Linked DNA regions of Saccharomyces cerevisiae S288C. The gene in region 3 interacts genetically with the main gene of each other region. Each region holds a gene or a part of one and is shown on either strand. Other genes may lie near its edges.

What was found. Genes that interact genetically often act in the same process or in processes that back each other up.
Region 1: mutations in EHT1 (region 3) and PPT2 together harm fitness more than expected from each alone (negative genetic interaction), as found in Saccharomyces cerevisiae (2 studies listed by BioGRID).
Region 2: mutations in EHT1 (region 3) and BUL2 together harm fitness more than expected from each alone (negative genetic interaction), as found in Saccharomyces cerevisiae (2 studies listed by BioGRID).

Annotation. Positions count from the first base shown.
Region 1 is NC_001148.4:271,794-275,014, reverse strand, and holds PPT2 (holo-[acyl-carrier-protein] synthase), read left to right. Parts: upstream 1-2,199; coding exon 2,200-2,721; downstream 2,722-3,221. Other genes in the region: ATP-binding cassette long-chain fatty acid transporter PXA1, read right to left, coding at 1-1,760; ATG5 (Atg5p), read right to left, coding at 2,821-3,221. UniProt on the Saccharomyces cerevisiae protein: Transfers the 4'-phosphopantetheine moiety from coenzyme A to a Ser of mitochondrial acyl-carrier-protein.
Region 2 is NC_001145.3:44,844-50,204, reverse strand, and holds BUL2 (ubiquitin-ubiquitin ligase BUL2), read right to left. Parts: upstream 3,264-5,361; coding exon 501-3,263; downstream 1-500. Other genes in the region: COQ5 (2-hexaprenyl-6-methoxy-1,4-benzoquinone methyltransferase), read left to right, coding at 1-174; CTK3 (Ctk3p), read right to left, coding at 4,252-5,142. UniProt on the Saccharomyces cerevisiae protein: Component of a RSP5 ubiquitin ligase complex which specifies polyubiquitination and intracellular trafficking of the general amino acid permease GAP1 as well as other permeases such as PMA1.
Region 3 is NC_001134.8:584,008-588,455, forward strand, and holds EHT1 (medium-chain fatty acid ethyl ester synthase/esterase), read right to left. Parts: upstream 2,156-4,448; coding exon 800-2,155; downstream 1-799. Other genes in the region: ECM31 (3-methyl-2-oxobutanoate hydroxymethyltransferase), read left to right, coding at 1-651; FZO1 (mitofusin), read right to left, coding at 2,540-4,448. UniProt on the Saccharomyces cerevisiae protein: Displays enzymatic activity both for medium-chain fatty acid (MCFA) ethyl ester synthesis and hydrolysis (esterase activity). MCFA are toxic for yeast and this enzyme could thus be involved in their detoxification by esterification.

The DNA of each region.
Region 1 (3,221 bases), on a different chromosome or scaffold from region 3:
ATGATTACGTCTATATTTTCTAACCGAATACCGTTAAAATTGCGTTGAATAGTACCACGAATAGCATCTTGCGAATTATCCGTGGTGGGTAATAAGTTGGAATTTCTGGAAGCGTCTTCTGTACGTATTGACAGGATTGAAGGAACAGCGCCGTAATTAAAGTTCAGAGAGTGAACCCTGTGTAAGACGGAAAGCAGAGTAAATATCCTATTAGTGTAGCCGGTCAATTGTGAGATGTCCTTTATCGAATGCATCAATCTCGAGCCTGCATCTGCAAGCGACAACATCAACCTTTTGTTGACTATAAATTCCTTCATATTTTTTTCCTCTGAATTGATGCCTGTCGCTAAGGTAGACATAACGATAGGGATTGAGGCAAAAACATAACCCAAACCGGACCATGTATATTTTAAAACATAGTCTTCCAACATATTGTAACCAAACTTGACTTTATCAACCAGCAGCATTTTTTCCATCAGCACATCATACAACTCTTTAACTTTCGTCCTTTCCACTGCTGTTCCTTGGTAAAATGCGATCTCTTCGCTATTATTTATCATGTTTAGATGATAATTGTAGTAATCGCCGTCTGAAGCAGATCTCTCGCCTGCCAATTTACCTAATGGTGGCGTGTATTTCCTCAAAATAAACCCAGTAATGAAATAATTAACAAATATACCTGCTACTCCCACAGTTCCCAAATTATCACGTAAATAAACCGAAAAGAATATTAAATCAATAACTGGCTTTGCAATGTTTGCAAAAACGGAGCATGTCGCATCGCAAAATTTTGCAACATCATTAGTAATGGAGTTGTCGATATTCTTGATTACCGAATTGGACGCCTTTGCATCAAAAATTAATTTGTAAAATGTTAGTCTTTTATCCAAATACATGTCATGGATGTAACGTGTCAAATTTACCCTAAAGTTTAAACTCAACTTCCTTTGAAGTAGCTTAATAGCACTATTAGTATAAGAAGCAGGGACAGCAATTAAAAACCAACACCCTAAGTCCCACAGAAAGCTTCTTCCTCTACCAGCAATTATATTTTTGACTATTTGTCCATCCAGCTTGGCTACAAACAAAGAGAGCCAAGTTCTCATCACCAGGAAAAAAATTTGAGCAGTTAAAAGAAGAAAGTTTTTGTCAAAAACTGTTGGAATTAAAATTTTAGACAAGACGTTCATTTGGTTTAAAAATTTTGAGTAGAATAACTGCGAATTCTTGGCTCTTTCCAGTTCTACATTTTTAAAAAGAAACTTATCGTGTTCATATACATCGTTATCCTTTGGTGGAATAAATATCCTTTTCCTTTTTTTTTTATCTGTAGCATTCATAAATTTGTTGTCATCGGGACTCTGGCGGTCGACTAATTCCACTTCAGGAATATACATTATTCTTGCACCACTGTCTAATTGCATTTGAGATCTTGTTCTTCTTATTAAAGGTCTCCTATTCCTTCTCTTCCATGGAAACTTGTAAAATTTATAACATTTTAGAATAATTTTGAAAGTACTATATGTTACACCAGAAAAAAGTGTGACACCAGATAGGAAAAGCGATACCAATAAAATCTGGGCCCTTCTTCTTAGCTTAGGATGAGCAGCGTTTGATCTAGATATCTGTAGAAGATGCCGTATCAATAACTTGAAATATACTTTAGGTGTGACATCGTTAACGTGTAGCCCAATACAGTGAGTATGTAGATTCAGGAGCAAACTCTTTAGTTTCGCTGGTGCTGCTAATGTTGTTGACATTTCTGTGTTATGCGTTCTAAGACTTCCAGATTGTCTGAAACGGGTTTCATTGTTAGTCTCACTTCTTAGAGAAGCATTCTTATATATCTTGACTCTAAAAGGGCTGAAAATAACCGCCGAAATTAAAAATTGGGGTAAAAAAGGGTAACGAAACTTATGCGGTTAAGCCCGATCAACATATAGCTGAATATTGCGTCAAGAATAATTTCTTAATCGGGATTATTTCCGAAGGAAGAAATTCTATTGAAAAAAAAATCTTAACATCAAAACTGCTTATATACATTCCACAGGTTCAAGCGGTCATAAGAGATCTGACTTTTGATAGAAAAGCTAGTTCTTTAAGAAGGCTGAATAGAAGCTAAGCACTATTTTCTTATCAGGAGTATTGCTTTCTAATGAACGTTTATTTCATAAGTGCTAGCTTTGAATGCCTCCAGTGATGAGTTTTGCATCGAGGAATATTGGACGTAAGATAGCAGGAGTGGGAGTTGACATTGTATACTTGCCAAGATTTGCACATATACTAGAGAAATATTCCCCATTCGACCCATGTGGCCGTTCTACCTTGAATAAAATAACACGGAAGTTCATGCATGAAAAGGAAAGATTTCATTTCAGTAATCTTCTCATCGAAGAAAACTGCTTAACTCCACGATTGCATGAATATATAGCGGGAGTTTGGGCTTTGAAGGAATGCTCATTGAAAGCGTTGTGTTGCTGTGTTTCAAAGCATGATCTACCTCCTGCCCAAGTACTGTACGCTGGAATGCTATATAAAACACAAACCGATACAGGTGTACCTCAGTTAGAGTTTGATAAGATGTTTGGAAAAAAGTATCCAAAGTATCAACAGCTCTCGAAAAACTACGATTCTCTCTTTTCCACTCATGAGTTTTTAGTTTCGCTATCCCATGATAAAGATTATTTAATTGCAGTAACAAACTTGGTAGAAAGAGAGTAAAAGTTTTCTTGCAGCCGTATAAATGTGGCCCTATTTTCAACGTCCAAGTTATTTTCTGCGATATTTGAATGACACTTTTAAATGCGTATATAACAGCTCTTAGAGCTCAGAGGAAGCTTTATCGCCGCCTTTTATAGGAACAAGAGTTATGTACAAAAAGCCATCAAAACTTCGCAATTTAGAATACAAATCATACAGGAGCATATGCCAAGGAATTTCAATTCCTTGACAAATAACCATGACATCATTACCATTGATTCCTTCCTTTACGTCCAGAATATCGCCTTCAATATCCTTCAACGTAGGATTGACTCCAGTCATACTGATAGTTGGTTGTGATATTCGAAAAGTTCCTGATGTCCTTGAGGTTTGAATGATGAGCGGTATATGTCGCGGTCTTGATGAACTTATCTTGTTAGATATTTCAATGAAATCTTGGAAATTTCTCGTAATAACACTGCCCCAAAATTTTCGAGCTTCGTTGACCGATAAAGACATAA
Region 2 (5,361 bases), on a different chromosome or scaffold from region 3:
GGCTCGATGATTGCTAATGACTACGACTCTTACCAGTATTTGGTGGAGTCTATCGAAAGATTTCCTGACCAAGAAACGTTCAAATCCATGATTGAGAAGGCAGGATTCAAATCTGCTGGCTACGAAAGTTTAACTTTTGGTATATGTGCCATCCATTGGGGCATTAAAGTTTAAAGTAAATAGAACAAATTTCCTTTTTTTTTTGTCAAGAAAATCGAAGCTAGTAAAACATGCCTATACTATTTCTGTCTCTCTTCTTCTTTAGTAATACCTGTGCCATGTGATAGCCATATATTTTGCTGTGATGTGCAGAATTCGTATATACTAGGGGGAAATAGAACGAAAGAAAGAAAGAAAAAAAAAAAAAGAAATAAGTGACTGTACATAATATAATAATATTAATGATATTAATAGTAATAGGTATATTAAATGGTTAAAAAATAGTCCTGCTTTTATCAATTATTTGTAAAACTGCGAGATTACTGTTAGTGTTGTATGGTCTAAATTTGTAACTTTTTCACATCAACCGGAATATCAACTTTCATAGAACCCAAGTGGTTATCAAATTTGATGTTTACTCGAACACAATAAAATCTACAACACAAACACGTTTCAAGATTGGGCACTAACGTTTCTTTAATGTTGGGGTTGAGCTTCAAATTAACTGTAACATCCCTCTTATACTGTAATGGCTTAACTTTTTCCCATTCATGCACAATTTGCTGAGTAAACTTAGTAGCGGTGGATGCACCATTGCTAAATGTTGCTTGTAAGAAATTATTATTACTGGATGACGCGGAAGGAGGATTGGAACTTCCTTTCTTCGAAATAATATCCTCGTTTTCTTCTTCAAAAGTATGTATTTGCTTTTTGAAGATATCATGTAAATCAATAATGTTAACTTTTAATCCAGCTAAACTGTCAATATCATTGTTTATTTGATCAGATATGAAATTTGTGAACAAAAGCTCTTTTGGAGTGAAATGATCTCTATTTCTATTATAAAGCTCGTTTAGCTTCGCATGGTTTTCTTCAAATTTTTTACGATATTCATGAACTTTTTTCTGATACGTCAAAAATTTTGTCTTTAGTTTGTTTAATCTATTCTCATTCATCAACAGTTCAGTGCAGAATTTGATAGGAATCGAATTATCAGACTTTGCTGTGATGACCACAAATTCTGTCGTTACAGAGCTTATTTCTGGCGGCTTATGTCCTGCACTATTATTAGATTGGATACAAGTCAAATGTACATCTAACTTGGTCAGTGGGGTTTTCACTCCTTCTGGAAGCATGCCCATTAACCTTTGCCAGTTTTCCTTTTCTTGTTCACTCTTTGCTTCAAATTTGTTGGTTTTTCTCAACAATGATGGTGACCAATAAGGTAATGTAGATTGCGGTTTTTTAACTGATAATACAATCAATCCGGAATTATATACATGTGGACCAGTTGAAGATGACCCCGTTTCTGATGAACTCAAAAAATGAGAAAATAAACTTGAATTTGATTTATTCTTATTTTTAAACTTATAGCGTAACTCAGTCTCGACTAGGTTTTCCTTTGGAGCCATATTTTTGGAGTCATAGGATGGTGATTGGCTGGCGGTATCATCAATCCTGTTATTGATGTGCAGTTGATCTAGCTTACGTCTTAATATCTCATCGGAATCCAAATCTTCATTACCGTCCAAAGTCCCGCTTATATCTGTGTCATGAATATCTACATTCGAAATGGCCTCATTTAATTCCAGTTTCTTGAAAATCTTGTTCAAAGCTTCAAATCTATCTTCAATCAAGCTTTCCAAATTTTTCAGTTGTCTCAAACACGTTTTCTCGTTTTGTTGATTAGTGACACCAGCAAAGGGGAAGGGCATAACTCTCAAGTTATATTCTTTTTCTTTCATAATATTCAGCTTAGATGTTCTTTTATCTTTACCGACAATTTTGGCATCAATTGTATAATTTATTGATAAATTATCATCTGCCATGTCAAGTGTCAGAATGGGTGAACCTTTTGTACCTAAATGCCCACAGCCAAGGACACTATTTACTTTTATGCCAGAGTATTTACAATTATTTTTATACTTGTCGATACCAAAGCTGGGAGGCAGAAGGCAGTGTGAGAATTGCTCTTGTTTGCAAGTCACGTCCAATAACTGTGTAGGAAGCTTGAACATGAAGAATTTCTTATACTTTGTGTTCGGCTTCAATTCTCTGCTGTTTGAAAGACCAATGATGGCATCGTCAAAATCCCTTTCACCGGGGACAATATTAATACCCGTACTTGGGGTTATGTTTGTATAAGACCAAGATGCGCTCAAATCGACCATTCTTAAAAATCTCTTTAACGTTCTTTTCCCTTTCTGACGGTCAATTACAGATATGTACGCTTCTAAAGTGACATAAAACATTTCAAATTTCAGTGGTTGAGAGGACCGATTTTCAATTAAACAATAACCATGAATAATATCACCCGAGGTGTATTCCTTCAATATTGACTGTTCCTCAGGACGCTCATGAGGTATTGATGCAGTTTTCGTTATTCTTATATCAATTTCGATAGGAGTGGATAACTTGGGTAAGGTGTATAACTTGTCTATAAAAATGTTATCCGAGTCGTTTAGATCATCTTCGAACGGTATTTGACTGATATTGGTGTCTGATGAAGAATGGAGCGACTGTCCACCACTTCTTGTACTGTTTATTGTAAGATGTTGTGTTTGTAGAGGATGTAGGTTGGTAAGAGAATGGGCAGTCGCATTATTACATGCGTTTTCGGATCCTGGCACTGCTGTCAATTGTGACCTTTCCACGGAATTATCATTGCTGGGCAATATAGTCATTCTTTGAGTGCGAACTTCTTGATAAGAAGGGGGGAAATCATGTCTATCGGGATCAACGTTTCCTTGAGGTATGTGTCTGTGCAAGGCATTATACATCTCAAAAGATGGTAGGACATCCACTAGCATATTTGCTCTATGAGATAATCTTGACTGTGTGCAGTCCATTTCCAGTGAATTTTCCTCTCGTTCTTGTCGTAAACGGTCTAAATTGGTTGTTGAAGCGCTGCGTATGTCATCGTCCTGGCTGTCACTTGCACGTGGAGTCTGCCCACTATTTGGATGCAGCGAATTATCTGTAGAATTACTTGACAGCTGCTGTTGACGCCGCTTCCTCAATAGATGAATGTTATCTTCCGTAGAAACTGATTTTAAAGGAGGTCTCCCATTTTTCCTTGATGAAGTGGAGAATGTAAAAGTCATTAATACTTCTTTTGTTCCCCAGAATATATCTCAAATCTGCTGCTTCAGTTGCAAAGTCCTTGGCCAAAACGGGTAAGAAGTTGAGATTCTTGTCGAGAAATCCTACAGAAACAGAAATCAATTATTGGTAAGTTATGCACAAAATGATAATTGCAATATTTGCTTTACGCATATCTGTTGGACGATTTCAGAAATTTTTCTTAATTGGTAACGGCAGATAAAAAATAAAAATCACCAAAAGAGAAATGCAAAGAGCCTAGACTACCAGGAACAGGGCGAGCAATGGCGGGGCGACTATAAATATACGAACAGGAAAAGGCGAAAAACCGGTGCCGTATATACATAAAAAAATGATAACGCTTCAACGTGCAAAGGAACCGTCACACATTTTTGATGTGAAAGAAGTAATATTCTTGGCACTTTTCTATCGTGGACCTCTCTGTGAACGAATGCTCTTCCTCTGCTCAGTCCTTTCCAGCTTGTAACTAGACAAATTCCCCGCGGTTCTTTATGATCTTTAAGCTCGAACCACAAGGCAACAATGAACCTTCTCAAATTTTAAATTCGCTTATGTAGCAACCATATCAGCCCGAATGTAAATTCATTTGTGTAGAAATGCGGCGTAAAACCATCGAATGAAGGGAGTAGTCTAACATGGTATTTTCCTTGGCTTGTTTTAAGTCTCGTCAAACTCCTCTTTTGTGTGTTTTCAGCAATAGGCTACGGCCAGGTCCACAGAAATTGACTGTTTTATACTCAACAACACACTCTGCAAACCGTGTTAAGTTTATTCGTCTGCACATGTTGAGGACTACAATAAAAGTAACTTAGAGGAAAATTAGCCGCCGTTTCACCTTGAATAGTTTGCTTTTCCTGAAATCGAGATAAGAAAAAGACAAGTTCATTTTGTACGCGCATTGATACGTATATACGTATATATAATACAGATACGGATTCTCTTCACAGATATATATATAACGTCATGGTACTAATATATGTAAGATGCCTTCGCAATGTCATTTAAAGCCTTGATATTTTTGTAATCGTCCTTATCAAATCCGGAATCAGTAGTTTCAAAATGCGTCCACAAGCTTTTAAATTCGGATTCATCCAGTATATCGTTGGAGGGCCTTTCGATGTACCAACTTGTCTCTTTCGACCTCTTGTGCAGTTCCCTGTCTGCTTCCATCCTGTGCAACAAAATGTTTGCATTGGTTGGCTGCGTCTGTAAGTCCGGGTTGATCGCAGTTGTATCGGAATTGAACTGCTGAAAGAAAGCCAATTTCTTCAAGTCTCTGTCCTTAAGCAGAGACTCCGTTCGTTGCAATGATTCTTTATAGTCCTTTGTAGTCCTCTCTGTCTTGACACTGTACCAGGTAGTAGCGTCTATGAGTGTGGTGTCTGATGGTGTGTGCGTGACGCTGGTGGCGTCGTAATGGATTAGTTTGGATAAGTCAAGGAATAGCTCTTTACAGGTGGCTTGATTCGTGAGGGATTTCCAGTCCTGGCAGGGCAGACAAAGCTCAAAAACCAAGTCTATGTCCATGAGTAGCACTTCGTTTAACACTTTTGTAACATTGGTATTGGAATGGCTATGCGGATATAAGTTTCTTATTATTCTAACATAGTATATCACTACGTCCAGTCTATCTAGTGGGTCCATCTTCATGGTTGTATCGAACAAACATTGGTGGAAGTCCTCGTAGTGATGTCTGTAGTTTCTCAAGTAGAACTGTATAGGGTCATTGTTCAGCTTTTGTTGCGATGACGGTGGTGTGGTGGTCGACGATGATGTGATAGAGTCTCTGGTCTTGTGCAGCGTCTTTTGCAGGTTCTTCAGGACCTGAATGAATTGTAATCTAGCTTCAAGAGAGTCCATCCTTGCTGTATACCTTTACCTGGCAGTGCTTTTGTGAGAAATTAACTACCATCTGGTATTCTTTTTCCTTTTCTTTCTAAAATTCTAGTTTTTCATGTTGTGCTTAATTAGGAAAAACAGTGAATTTGAACAGTTGCTGAAGTTGAGATCAGTCTTAAATATACATTGCTCAAAGAAGTACAAATACATATAAATATAAATATCTATGGTTTTCTCAAC
Region 3 (4,448 bases):
GCTGAAGGTTCTTCCATGGTAGTGGTAGACATGCCATTCGGTACGTTTGAATCGGGCATATCTGATGGCTTGAAGAATGCCATAGATATCATGAAATTGGACAGTAAAGTCACCTCAGTCAAAGTTGAAGTCGGTTCTTACACCAAAGACAAATATGCAATGAAATTTATTGAAGAACTGTGCTCCCGGGGTATACCTGTTATGGCTCATATAGGACTAACTCCCCAAAAAGTTCATTCACTTGGAGGTTATAAAGTGCAAGGTAGCAAAAGTCTATTACAAATGCAGGAGCTGTATGAAACCGCCATGCAACTACAAAAAATTGGCTGTTGGTCTATCCTGATTGAATGTGTCCCCCATAAGATGGCTCAGTTCATAACATCTAAACTCTCAGTACCAACAATAGGTATCGGTGCAGGTAACGGTACCAGTGGACAAGTTCTAGTTATATCTGACCTTCTCGGGATGCAAGGCGATTCTGTCCCAAAATTTGTGAAGCAAGCTGTAAATATGACAGATATTGCCACTCAGGGCTTGAAGGAGTACATTGCAAGTGTAGAGGATAGGACATTTCCTGAGAGAGGTACTCATACTTTCAAAGTTAAGGAGGACTTATGGAATGAATTCCTCTCTTCAATTAACGAAAAGTAAAATATATAGATAAAAATCACTGCATAGGGAAAAAAACTTTAAATTTTAGGTATACTGAAGACAACAAAAAATACATAACTTAAAATAAAGGGGCATTGATCCAATGTTGTATAAATACATAGGAAAGTGGTTTGAAAATTGTGTGACATCATACGACTAATTCATCAAACTTAGTGAAAAATTCTGCAATTGCCTTGGTAGCCCACGAGTTGTTGTCTTTATCTAGGTAAGCTAAATGACCACCTAAATCGGTTCTACAATACAAAATACGAGGATTCTTTTCCACGATTGAGTATGGTTGATCTGGGCCGACAACAGGATCATCCCTGGAATTGATAACAAGGGTAGGAACCCGAATTGTATCAACTCTGTTTATTGAGCTGGCCGCTTTATAATACTCCATAGCATTTGGGAAGCCTAAAGCAGGCGCAGTGTACACTTCATCAAATTCCCGGGTCGATTTAAAGCTCTTTGCCTTTATTAGATTTTCAGGCGTGAACATATAGAAAGATGGATTCTTGACTGTGGGAGGATGATCGGGGAGAGAGCCATTTGGAACTCCTAATTCACCCATATTAACCTGAACGGTTCTTGTTAAGAATTGCGCAATATTTTTGGAAAATAAAGTTCTTGACCACCAATCCTGGCTCATCCTAATTGCTGAAAGGAGAAGATCCCAAGGATTGCACAAAGTAGCAGCTGCGGATAAAGGTGATTTATCGCCCTCTTCTCCCAGATAGTTTGCCAGCATCGTAGCACCAAAAGAGCATCCCACAGCGTATAGTTTTCTATCTGGATGTCTTTGCTTTTCTCTTTGCAAAAACTCGCGAATATCCATTGTGTGATAAGCTGTAAATAAATTTCTGGTGGTAATTTTGGAACGTGCACAACCTCTGGTATTTAGGACGACCACTTGAAATCTCCCACTGCGAGACAGGTTTTCAGCAAGAGATCTTATAATCGGCTCATGACTACCACCAGCAAGACCATGTAGAATAACTACTAGGGGTAGATCAACCTCCCGTAGTTCTTCCAACTCATTATCTTTCAGGTACCTTGTACGTGGTTGTAAACGAGGCCATCCTTCTGGATGTGTCGCCTTCTCGTCTTTATCAAATTTTTTTTTATCAAAGCTCGTAGTACTTTGATCGAATTCATAATCCTTTTTCCATGAATCTATGAGCCAGTCAGCGGTGCAAACTCCACCATCCGAGAATTTGACAATTTCCCTGCCGTAGAATACAGGAAATTTCTTAGAGAAATCAGCAGCACCTAAGTACAAAGTTTGCAAAATACCTGTGAACAAGTAAGGACTCAATTTGAATTGGGCACCATTCTTCAACGTTGGGACATATTTGTTAGCGAACTCGTCAAAATCAACTTGCTCCTTGTTGTCTTTTAAATGGAGTTTAATGGAACCATTTTCACCGACAATATGCGAAACTGTACCATTGTATCCCCAATGGAATGGGTTGATTGCTGGCCATTTGGAAACTTCTGACATATCGGAAACTTTTATGAGCTTTGTTTTTTACGCAACTACTATCAATGTAATAATAGAACTTAAAAAACTGCTCATATTAATAATAAACGGAGGAAATACTCGAGGAGCTATTACTTCCAGGGACATCCGATATCTGACGCCTTTTAAAATCTGCACATGCGCAAGATTTAAAAAAAAAAAAGGATCTCGGAACCGGAACGAGATTGCTCATTTTTCGTTCCGTTTCCGCAGGTTTTGCAAATCATTAAGCAGATACACAAGGGTCCTTTTAATGTTTATGTAATTTCGTGCAAAGTGAAAAAAAAAATGGACCTGCTTGGAATAAAATAATAAGTAACATTATGTATATTGATTTGAAAAGACCTCATATATTTACAAGAATATCTAATCGATGTCTAAATTTATTTCTTCCACCATCAATTTTTGAGCCACGGTTCCTTCGTATAGAGATTGGAAGAATTTGATTGACAACAAGTTACTTTCTTTTTTGTTTTCCAATTCTTTCTTAGTGATTTGTTTTTTATCCATAATTATTTCACACGACCTTAGAATTTCACGTGTAGGTACACGCAAAACATCACGTACTTCATTTGAGGTTCTTTGAGCGTTAAGATGAATGTAATCCAGTTCTTGCAACTTTCTTTTGTATTTAATGGAAAGATTCATTGGTAAGGCACGGGGGAGGTCATGAATTAAATACGTAAGTCCCAACAAGGAACCTACCACTATAACCGGAACTGATAACTTCTTGAGTGAGCTCCACGACGATAATTTAATGCCGTTTAATATAATGTTCCCCACAACCTTTGTACTTCCTAGAAAGTACAGCGTTAGAGTGGGAATTTTTGATGTGAAGAGCAATGATGGTCTTGACCAATATTGTGTCAAAGGATAATTTTTCAAACCCAAATACTTCATTAGGCCAATCTGACCCTCGTTAGTTTGTCCTTCTATATCCGGCAGTGGTGCTGTGACAGGTTTCTGCCAGCTTAAGTAAGACAAAAAGCCTTTCCAAGTTGGAGCAAACAAATCAGTTATTGACAAAGATACTTTAAGCCTTTTTCCTATCAAATGCTTCCTTTTTCTAAACATTAGTTCGCTTCTGAAAACACGTTCACACATGAAATCATCACCAAGTTCATTTTTTCCAATCTCATAAATTTTTTTTACCAGTAAATCTGTCTTTTGCTTGGCAAATAATTCACTTGATCCTATTGACTCATCAATCTGATTTGCTATGAACGCTTCTGTTGAAAATATGAAGTCATAAATTTGACCGAGGCCCTGATATTTCGGATATTCGTGTAGCGGAACATCCAACGCATTGAGAAGTGCTTCTTTAGTATTGTTATAAGTCATTGTAATTGTTTGCTCGGCCATTTGATCAACGGAAGTTGTTAAATCATTGCACTTTGCTCTAGCGCTCAAAATTTCAGGTCTCAATGTTTCCAGTTGTTCGTTAATTTTTATTTCTTCTTCACTATACATTTTCATATTAGATTTGGAGATCATTATTATATCGCTTAATAATTTCGATAGATAAGTCTTGGCAGGTAACAATTTAGAAAGTGATCTTTTCTTCAAAACAAAATTGCGTAGAGAATCTTCCAGACTGTCAAAATCCGGATCGGGATCGCTGCTAGAATATGGGTCGTCGTCAGGTTTTCGGTCACCATGATCTTCATTGTCATTTTCATTATGATAATGTGGCAATTCATCTCCGTTTTTGGAAACAAAGTGGACAAAATCAGCTGCACGTTTATATGTTTCTGGGGACAGGTCACGGATTTGCTTTAGGATCAACTCCTTACAACGTTGTTTGTCCCTGATTTTGTCAAATTTTTTCACAACAAAAAACATTAATTTTTTCTCACGAGATGCTAAAGAAATAAACTCCTTGGCAGATAGTGTTAGCTGGTTCTCTGCATTGACAACAAATATAACTAAGTCGATTTCTTCTTGTCGGGACATTACTTCGGCGGTTTGTAACGAGTCCATGTTCAACCCAGGGGAGTCAATTAATGAAATATCAACAGTACCATTCCTTAATAGACTAGTAGAGGCAGGCCTTTTATCGTCCTTTATGTAAATCTTCAGTAAAGCATATTTTCCGTTTTGGGGAACCAAATCGGGAAGTTCTTTCAAAGTGTGTATTTCATAAGTCTTGGGATTTTGTATTGAATACATATCAATGGCTTCCTTGAGAGTCGGAGCAATGTTTAGTGGTATGGCATGAACCTCCTCTATGCCGTCATTTTCCCGAGCCTCTAGTATTTCGGAAAATACATTGGTA